2 linked regions of the Cricetulus griseus genome follow. The protein of the gene in region 1 interacts with the protein of each later gene in a pairwise test. Links are inferred from orthologs where the notes say so. Each region holds a gene or a part of one and is shown on either strand. Other genes may lie near its edges.

Region 1 (4,248 bases):
TCACTTAAAATTGAGACCCTAGAAGCTTTAGCACGGGTTTAGTGCTAGGCTATTTTTCCCCCTCTCCATGAGGTTGCATAAAATTAAGACATAAAGAACAGGAGACTCTTATTAACATAACGGAAGACTCACCAGCTGTATTCATTCCGCTGCCACTCACTATGTCTCTGTTTATTTCTGGAGACCCTTTCTTTTCAAAAGCCATGTTAGAATGAACCCATCTCCATGCTGAGATTTTTTTTTTTTATTTCTATGTAATATTATGTCTTTCAGTTTACAAGTAAAAACCCTTCAATATAAATGTAAACAAAAGCCCCTGCCCCCTTGGGGGGCAATTTCCTATGCCTTGTGACCAAGTTCATACACCTAACCCCCCCAAAACGGCGCCCGCGGCGCACACGGCTTCAAATACCTTTTCTGTGAATAATATGGCCAAGCATAATTTCCACGGTGACTTAAAAATTTTTTCATGGTGACTTAAAAAGGGGACAATTGTCTTGGCAACACATTGACAATCACGACACAGAGCTTAATTTTTCATTATCACTTTGATAAACGATAAAAGAAAAAAATTAAAAGGCAATCCAGCATCTAAAAGGTGGGAAAGGCGCAGGGTTTCACACATTGCATTTCAAATACAACTTCCTAAGGGCTTGGGGTGACTGTGCATTCCCCTATGCTCCGACTCAAACCTCCCTTTTCAATTAAGGTTATTATAAATACTCATCTGACGCCCATTCACATCCAACCTCTATTTGACAGGGAGGTAGACTGAGGCTCAGGAAGTCAAAGCCTGCATCAAAAACAAACCAAATACAGCAATCTTTCTGGAACACTGCTTTGAAAAAGAACAACAACAACAAACCCCACTACTGCTGGAGCAAGTGAAGCTCCGGTCAATAAAATCAAAAGCTGGGTGCTATTTTGGGGGGTTAATTTTCACATCACATCATGTTTTTAAAAAAGTTCGAATGGAGGGGAAGCTTAATTTCCTGTGTGGGAAATGGAAGGGCCGAGCACCTTGCAGTCTCACCAGCACGAGCCCAGGAAAAACAGCAGCACAATTATTCCTGGGGGGGGCGTGGCTACACAGAGGACTGGGGCCATTTGAAGAAAAATTGTGAGAAGAGAAAATGAGTACACACCCCCTCCACAACACCCCCCCACAACACACACACACACACACAATACACAACCACACCCACACAACACACCCCCACAACACCCCATTCCCACAACACACACCCCCAACACACAAATCCCCATCCCCACACCCCCCAACACACACACACACCCCAACACACACATCCCCATCCCCAACACCCCCCCAACACACACCCCATCCCCAACACACCCCCCCAACACACACCCCCAACACACACATCCCCATCCCCAACACACCCCCCAACACACACATCCCCACACACACACACCCCCAACACACACATCCCCATCCCCAACACCCCCCAACACACACATCCCATCCCCAACACACCCCCCAACACACACATCCCCCAACACACACATCCCCATCCCCAACACACACCCCCAACACACACATCCCCCAACACACACCCCAACACACACACATCCCAACACACACATCCCCATCCCCAACACCCCCCCAACACACACATCCCCATCCCCAACACACCCCCCAACACACACACCCCATCCCCAACACCCCCCCAACACACACATCCCCATCCCCAAACACCCCCAACACCCACCCCCAACACCCCCCAACACCCACACCCCCAACACACACACCCAACACCCCCACCCCCACCCCCACAACACCCCCATTCCCACAACACACACACACACACACACACACACACACACACCACAACACACCCCCAATACACACACACACACACACACCACAACACACCCCTAATACACACACACACACACACAACACAACTCCCTCCTGGGTGGGGGTGGGGGGAGAGTTCCCTTTGCAAGGGTTTGAGTCAGCTAACCAACCACCTGACCCAAAGAACCAAAGTGAAGCCATTGCAGGAGGTGTGTGTAGGGGGGGAGAACTCCAAACAAAACAAAACAAAACAAAAAGAAGGTTGGAGAAAGGCCTAGATTCCAAGTCCTCGTGGTTAAAACACATGTAAACTGAAGCTGCCTGTCGTGCTGTGACACTGAGGACTGAGAGGCCATGGAGTGAGTGAGTAAGGCAGAGCAGGGCTTGATACTGTGGTCCCCTTTGGGGGTCGTAGGTGCCCCATGACCCCTGACCAGGGAGCCCTTCCACTTAAGTATCACTCCTAATCGTCGTCGTTTTGTTCTTTTTCTTCCTTTTTTTTTTTTTTCTCTCTCTCTTTTTAGACAGACAGACAGAGACAGACAGACAGGCAGAGCCGCAGTGCACACGGTGTGTGTGTCTGGAGAGGCCGCCGGGAGACTCACCGCAGCAATGCTACGTGAATGCAGAGGGCTGGAGGTGGTGTGACTACTCACTTGCTCGGCTAACAGCTGCCGGTTTTGGATGGAATTATTCCGCAACAACAAGAAAGCGTCGGTTAAACGCCTGGTGGCCATGTCTCACCTCTGTGACCCCCCCTCTCAGGGTCCCCCACCCCCTTATAGTCTTGATTTTTTTCTTTCTTTTTTTTTATTTTCTTTCTCTCACGCTAGCCTGGCTGGTCCACCCTTTCTTAGAAACCTCTCTTGACAAGGCCTCAGGCCACAAAAAAAAAAAAAAAAAAGGTGCAATTTTGCGCTCCGCCAAAGCGCAGAGACCCCTCCCCAAATAACCACCTAGGCTTTCCAATTGTCTGGCTCCCCCTACCCCAGCCCTGGCTCGGATCTCTAAGCACTAGAATCCCCCCAATCCTAGCATAGAAACCGAACGTCCTGGAGACCCCTCCCCAATCCAGCGGCGGATCTGCAAGCGTCTAACCCACCAATCAGGAGGGAGCGTGCACAAGACCCCTGCCCACTCGCTTCCTGAGACTGCCCCTGACGTCTGGGCCTCGAAACACACTCGCTTAGCGCCTGCGTGTCTGGCATGTGGCTCTAACTCCGAATTTTGGTCAACTCTCCTCACAAAAGGCCTGCTCCAGCCACGAGCAGGCCTGAGCCCAGGACTCCAAGCGAGCGTCTGCAGCTCCCTCCGAGTCCTCAGAGCCTCCCAGGGCTCAGGGCGACCCGACCCCTGCTTCCCCGGAGGCCCGCAGGCTGCAGGCCTCCCTCCACCAGGACCTCACGGCCTGCACCCCGGCCTCCTCACTCCTCCTGGCCGGCACCCTCCATCCCGGGATATGGCTGCAACCCTGCCCCAGGGCCGCTTCCGCGTGTGGTCCCGGGCTCAGCGTTCCCCAGCCCTCTTCCTGTCCGTTCCTCGCGGGTGCCCCCCTGCGATGTTCATGAGGATTGTTTGTAACGTTCCGGGAGAGGGATCTCCCTTGTTGCCCTGCCCCAGGGGTGGGAGCGCCCCGCCCTCTCTGGGGTATTTCCCGGGGTGCCCTGTTTCCCTCTTCCTAAGTGTGTGCAGACTCTGGGACAGGCATCCTGGCCCAAAGAAAACTTCAAAAACTTGGCCCTGGAGCCGAAAATCACTGCTGGGGTCCAGACAACTGTAAACTTCTAGTAGAACTGCCAAGCAAACAAGAGTGTGGCTCTAGCAGAGCCTAGTCCTGCGCGGGGGCGGAGGAAAAGGCAGGAGACAGTGCCTCTGCAGGCCGGGCACGCTCCACTGCAGGCTGCTGGCGCTGCTGAGATGGCTGTGCCTTTTTCTTTTCTTTTTTTTTTAAAGCTGAAAAAAAAAAAAAAAGAGAGAGAGAGAGAAAAGAAAAGTATCCAAAAAACAACCAGGCGAGAAAAAGGAACAGGGAGGAAAAAAAAAATCTTGAGTTCCACGCCTTGCTGAGGACAGTCAGGGGGACGTCGACCCCCACCCTTAGGTGCCACACTCCGTAGGGGACACTGCATCGTTGTGCTTGCCAGGGAGGTTTCTGCTAACTGGGAGACCCTCCCTCACTCTCACTCCCCCCAAAAGAGCTTTGTGTTGCTGCTATGCCTGCCTTGCATCGAGCTGGGCCTTCGGGTCGCCTGCCAGTCCGTGGAACCATGCATCTGGCTCACTGCTACTCTGTCTTGGCTTAGGGGGACTCGCCGAGGGGCCCCCTAGGGCTGCTCCAGCCGCATCCCTGGAGCAGAGCGACCCACCGGCAAGCCCGGGTGACAGATCTGCATCTGCAGCGCGGATTCCTGGGGTGCAGCCTTGACCCC
Region 2 (4,313 bases), on another chromosome or scaffold:
CTTTCAGAAATTTAAATAATAAAAAAAAGACATGCAAGAGACTTTCAATAAACTGTCCAGCCTGGCCTGAGACTTGGGGGTCCTCCTGTCTCTGCCCCCAAGTTTTGGAATTACAGGCCTTAAGTCCTGAGCAATAGTTACAGCCACCTTTCAGTGAGCACATAACTTGCCCAGCACTGAGCTAGCTGTGCATGTGGGCATCTGGCTAAATCTTCATAAGAACCCACTCAAGACAATATTATTGTCCCTGTTTTACAGCCCAGAGGTGTTAAGTTGTCCAGAGCCAGTAGGTAACCAATCTGAGGGTAGAATGGTCAGAGACCCAGGGGCCACAAGTCTAAACCCTGTGCTAAACCAGATATGGAGAGAGAGGGGAGTATGAAGCTCCAGCTGATTGGCTGAAGACTGCCAGCCACTTGATGCTGCCAACTCAGCTTGCGACTACACACACCAATTCTGCCAGATGAATGGCTTCAAGAATTATTTTCAGCTAAGCATAGTTGTGGACCTATTTAATTCCAAAACTCAGTAGGCTGAGTTCAAGGCCAGCTGAGTCTACAGAGTGGGATCTTGTCTCAAGAAAAAACAAAAACAAAAAAGAATTATTCTATAGCTGTCCATGGTGTCAGATAATTGTAATCCCAGCACTTGGGAGGTAGAAGCAAGAGCATTGCTGCAACTTCAAGGACAGCTTTGTCTATACAGGCAGTTTAAGGGCTTTATAGCAAAAGAGTTCATTCCAATCAGGCATGGTGGCTCAGCTTTATAAGATGTTGTCTCCCAAAAAACAAACAAGCAAGATAGTAATTTTTAAAAGTATTTATAGTGGGGCTGGAGAGATGGCTTAGTGGTTAAGAGTACTTGCTGTTTTTCCACAGGACCTAGGTTCAGTTCCCAGCTCACAGCCATCTACAATTACAGTATGAGGTGATCTAACACCCTCTTCTGGATTCCATAGGCACTCACGTACATGGTGCACATTCATACATGTGAGCAAACATTCATACACATACAATAAAATCTTTGGTTGCTTTTTTTGTTTTTCGAGACAGGGTTTCTTGTTTCTTTGTAGCTTTGGAGCCTGTCCTGGCACTCATTCTGTAGCCCAGGCTGGCCTCGAACTCACAGAGATCTGCCTGCCTCTGCCTCTGGAGTGCTGGGATTAAAGGTATGCTCCACCACCACCTAGCACAATAAAATCTTTTTAAAAAAACGATATATGGTGCTAGGGAGATGGCTCCATAAATAAAGCTCCCACTGCACTAGCATGAGAACCAGAATTTGAATCCTGAGCACCCACACAAAATCCAAGCAGTTTGTTTGTTATCCTAGTGCTCAAGATGCCAAAAACAGGGGCTCCCAAGGACTAGCTGGTCAGCTAGACTAGACAAGCTGGTGAGCTCCAGGTTCAGCCAGAGACCCTGTCTCCATAAATAAATCCGAGAGCTATTAAATAAGACACTGGACATCAACCTCGGACTTCCATGTGCACCTAAACATGTGTGTGCCCACACATGTGAATAAGCATGCACAGAACACGTGTACACGTGCCAAAAATGATTGCTCACTTTCCATCTTCCCTATCACTGCTTTGTCCTGTGCTAGTGGCACAAAAGAAATGCTGTGTCCTTTTTGTCCCAATGAGTCACAGAGAAGAGAAGGAAGGGGAAAGGGGTGGGAGTAATTAGGTAGTCAGAGGGGTGGATGACGGAAGGGAAAGAGCTGGAGATAGAAAAGGGGACAAGAAGGGAGGAAGAGTTAGCTGATGGAGCTGGAGGAACAATGTATCCCCCAGGCTCGGAACCCCCTTTGACTGGAATGCACCTGTGAGCATCCCAAGGTTCTGTACAGTCAGATAACTAGCCTAGCTCGCCTTCATTTCAGAACTTCTCCCCAGGAGCTGAGGGCCAGCTGGAAGTCCACCCCCTATCTCCTCCCAGCTCTTACCCTGCACTCTCGGAAGTGGGCTCTTAACTCCAGCCCATTCTCAGAGCCTCCCTCAGTTTCCTGGTGTGGCCTCACAGCTTAGGGCTACCTTCCTGTCCCATTTCCCTTTCCTGCCTCTAGTTCCCTAGAGATGAAGCCATCCAGACATTGGCATCTCTAGCCAAGCCACATCCATCCAGCCTTAGAGTACTAAACTTGCTTTCAGTCTGGTCCATCTCCCCAGGAGTCCCAGGGGAGGGGGATCCTGGCATCAGAGGTCTCAGACACCTTTGCCTTAGAAATGGCAGGTCTGCAGCAGGAGTATAGGTGACTCAAGCCAGGATTATGTCATTAGGTAGAGGTTAGGAAAGAGTCAGCCTGTGTCACACTGATAATTTCATGAAACTTTTATAGTAAACAACTTATTTTCTCTTTCCCCGGGGAAAGTGTTTATCTTTCAGCACCCAGCCTAGAGAGGCCTCCACTAGGCATCTACTCAGGTTTCCAACCCTTGGGCCAGCTCTGGCTTCTCTCAGCCCCCGGGGAAGAGCCCGCAGAGGTCATCGCATTACCTGCTACTTCTTAGCAAAGGGTTCTGAGTGCCTGGCAGCAGCAACCATAAACATCTCCTCTAACCTCTCAAGGACCCACTAAGGTAGGTATTGCTGCCCCTACTTTATGGCACGGAAAAGGAAGCTCATGGAGGTTAAGTGACTTGCCCGGGATGGCCGGGAGCTGCTAACTGCCGCACGAGCGTGGGAAGCGCAGCTCGGCTCACTCCGCACCGACGGGGCGCACTCTGATTCTCCTTTCCCGGCTGCCTGCAAAGTTGGGGTCTGGCTCATGCGACCAGCGTGACCCGCACCCCTGGGGTTCGGGCTCCTACATCACACCCCTGCATAATCGCCCTCTGCCCCTGCCCGTCTCACCATCGCCTCCGCAGCCACCGCCACCTCCTGCTTGCCGGCTCCGGCTCCTCTGCCCGGCGTGGCCTCAGTGCCCGCGGCCCTGGAGGAAGCCGCGGGGCGGGGCGGGCCCGCGGGCCAAGGGGGCGGAGGGGGGGCGCCTTCTCAGAGAGGTGCCCGACCCAGACAAACCGAAAGCAGCAACAGGGTCCGTGGGGCGCCTCCTACCGGGCCACCAGCGTCCGATTTCCGATGACACCCCAGCCTGGTAAATTGGGGACCGATGTCTCTTGGATCTGGGACTGCAACAGGAGTTAGCGAGGGAGGCGTCATTCTGTCATACGACAAGCATCTGTGAGTGCTAAGTGCTCCGGATGTCATGAACATGCCAGGATGGGTGCTTGCCACCTTGGTGAGTGCATGCCACCCAAAACTGAAAACACATCAACCACTCCAAAGTTCTGGTTGTTTTCAGACGGAGCAGGCAGTATTCTGAATACATCACATGTCGCCAAGTTGTACACTTAAAAAAGACAAATTGAGGTCTGGCAAGATGGTTCAGTGGATAAAGGCACTTGAAGCCAAATCTATTGCATTATCAGAGTTCCATCCCTGGGACTCACATTGTGGAGAGAACCAACTCCTGCAAGTTGTCTATCTGACCTCCATACACCGGGGTGGGAGGAGGTGGGGGGGCGATTTTTTAAATGCTAAAATTCTGCCGACATTCCTGTGAGCTAAAAGTCTCAGTGGTGTGTGGATGCATGAGCCTCTAAAGTTGCTGGGATGGATCCCAGCCTGAAATAAAAGATGACAACAGCAGCCAGACCAAGTTTTGAACCAGCAAGAGGCAGAGGAAGAAAAAGAGAAGATTTGAGCCAGCCTCCAGAGCAGTACTCAAGCAAAGAATGACTCCCTTTCCCAGAGAATAAAACACAGACAAACTACATGGCAGGCCCTGAAGAGCCTCATAGTGTGAGTTTAGGAGTCAGTCGGAAAACAAACAGGGATTATCCAGCCTGAGAACATACAATTTCCCCTTAGATTCCTGATGCCGGCCATGGGGACTTCTCCCCCGGTCAGAAAGATGGAGATTTTGAAGCAGAGTGATGATGAGGATACTGCAGCTTTTCTTGCATAACTGGGAAAAATTAAAGAGGAGCCAACAAACAGTCCTCTTTCTTAATCTCACTGGCCCATCGCCCAGTGCTTAATCAAAGACTAGAATGTGGGACCGGAGAGCTAGCTGAGTAGTTAAAAGCACTGGCTGCTCCTCCAGAGGACCCAGATTGAATTCTCATCACCCTCATTTCTGCTCACTGCTGTCTATAATTCAGCTCCAGGGGATCTAATGCCTATTCTAGCCTCCAAGGGCACCAATCATGAATGTGGTACATAGTCACATATTCAAGTGATGCATTTCTGCACATAAAAGAAAAAAAATAATTTAAAGAAAAAGTAATTTAAAAAAAATTACTGCCG

Evidence for each region.
Region 2: the proteins of Stx16 (region 1) and Vamp5 interact in binary tests that used the Homo sapiens proteins (3 or more experiments, as listed by UniProt). The two-hybrid records come from large-scale screens. The link is inferred for Cricetulus griseus from reciprocal best matches to the Homo sapiens genes STX16 and VAMP5.

What each region holds. Positions count from the first base shown.
Region 1 is NC_048599.1:5,006,054-5,010,301, forward strand, and holds the start of Stx16 (syntaxin-16), read right to left. Parts: upstream 2,847-4,248; 5' UTR 2,557-2,846; coding exon 2,425-2,556; intron 794-2,424; exon of another isoform or gene 133-793; intron 1-132. UniProt on the Homo sapiens protein: SNARE involved in vesicular transport from the late endosomes to the trans-Golgi network.
Region 2 is NC_048601.1:64,109,737-64,114,049, forward strand, and holds the start of Vamp5 (vesicle-associated membrane protein 5), read right to left. Parts: upstream 3,002-4,313; 5' UTR 2,859-3,001; coding exon 2,856-2,858; intron 1-2,855. UniProt on the Homo sapiens protein: May participate in trafficking events that are associated with myogenesis, such as myoblast fusion and/or GLUT4 trafficking.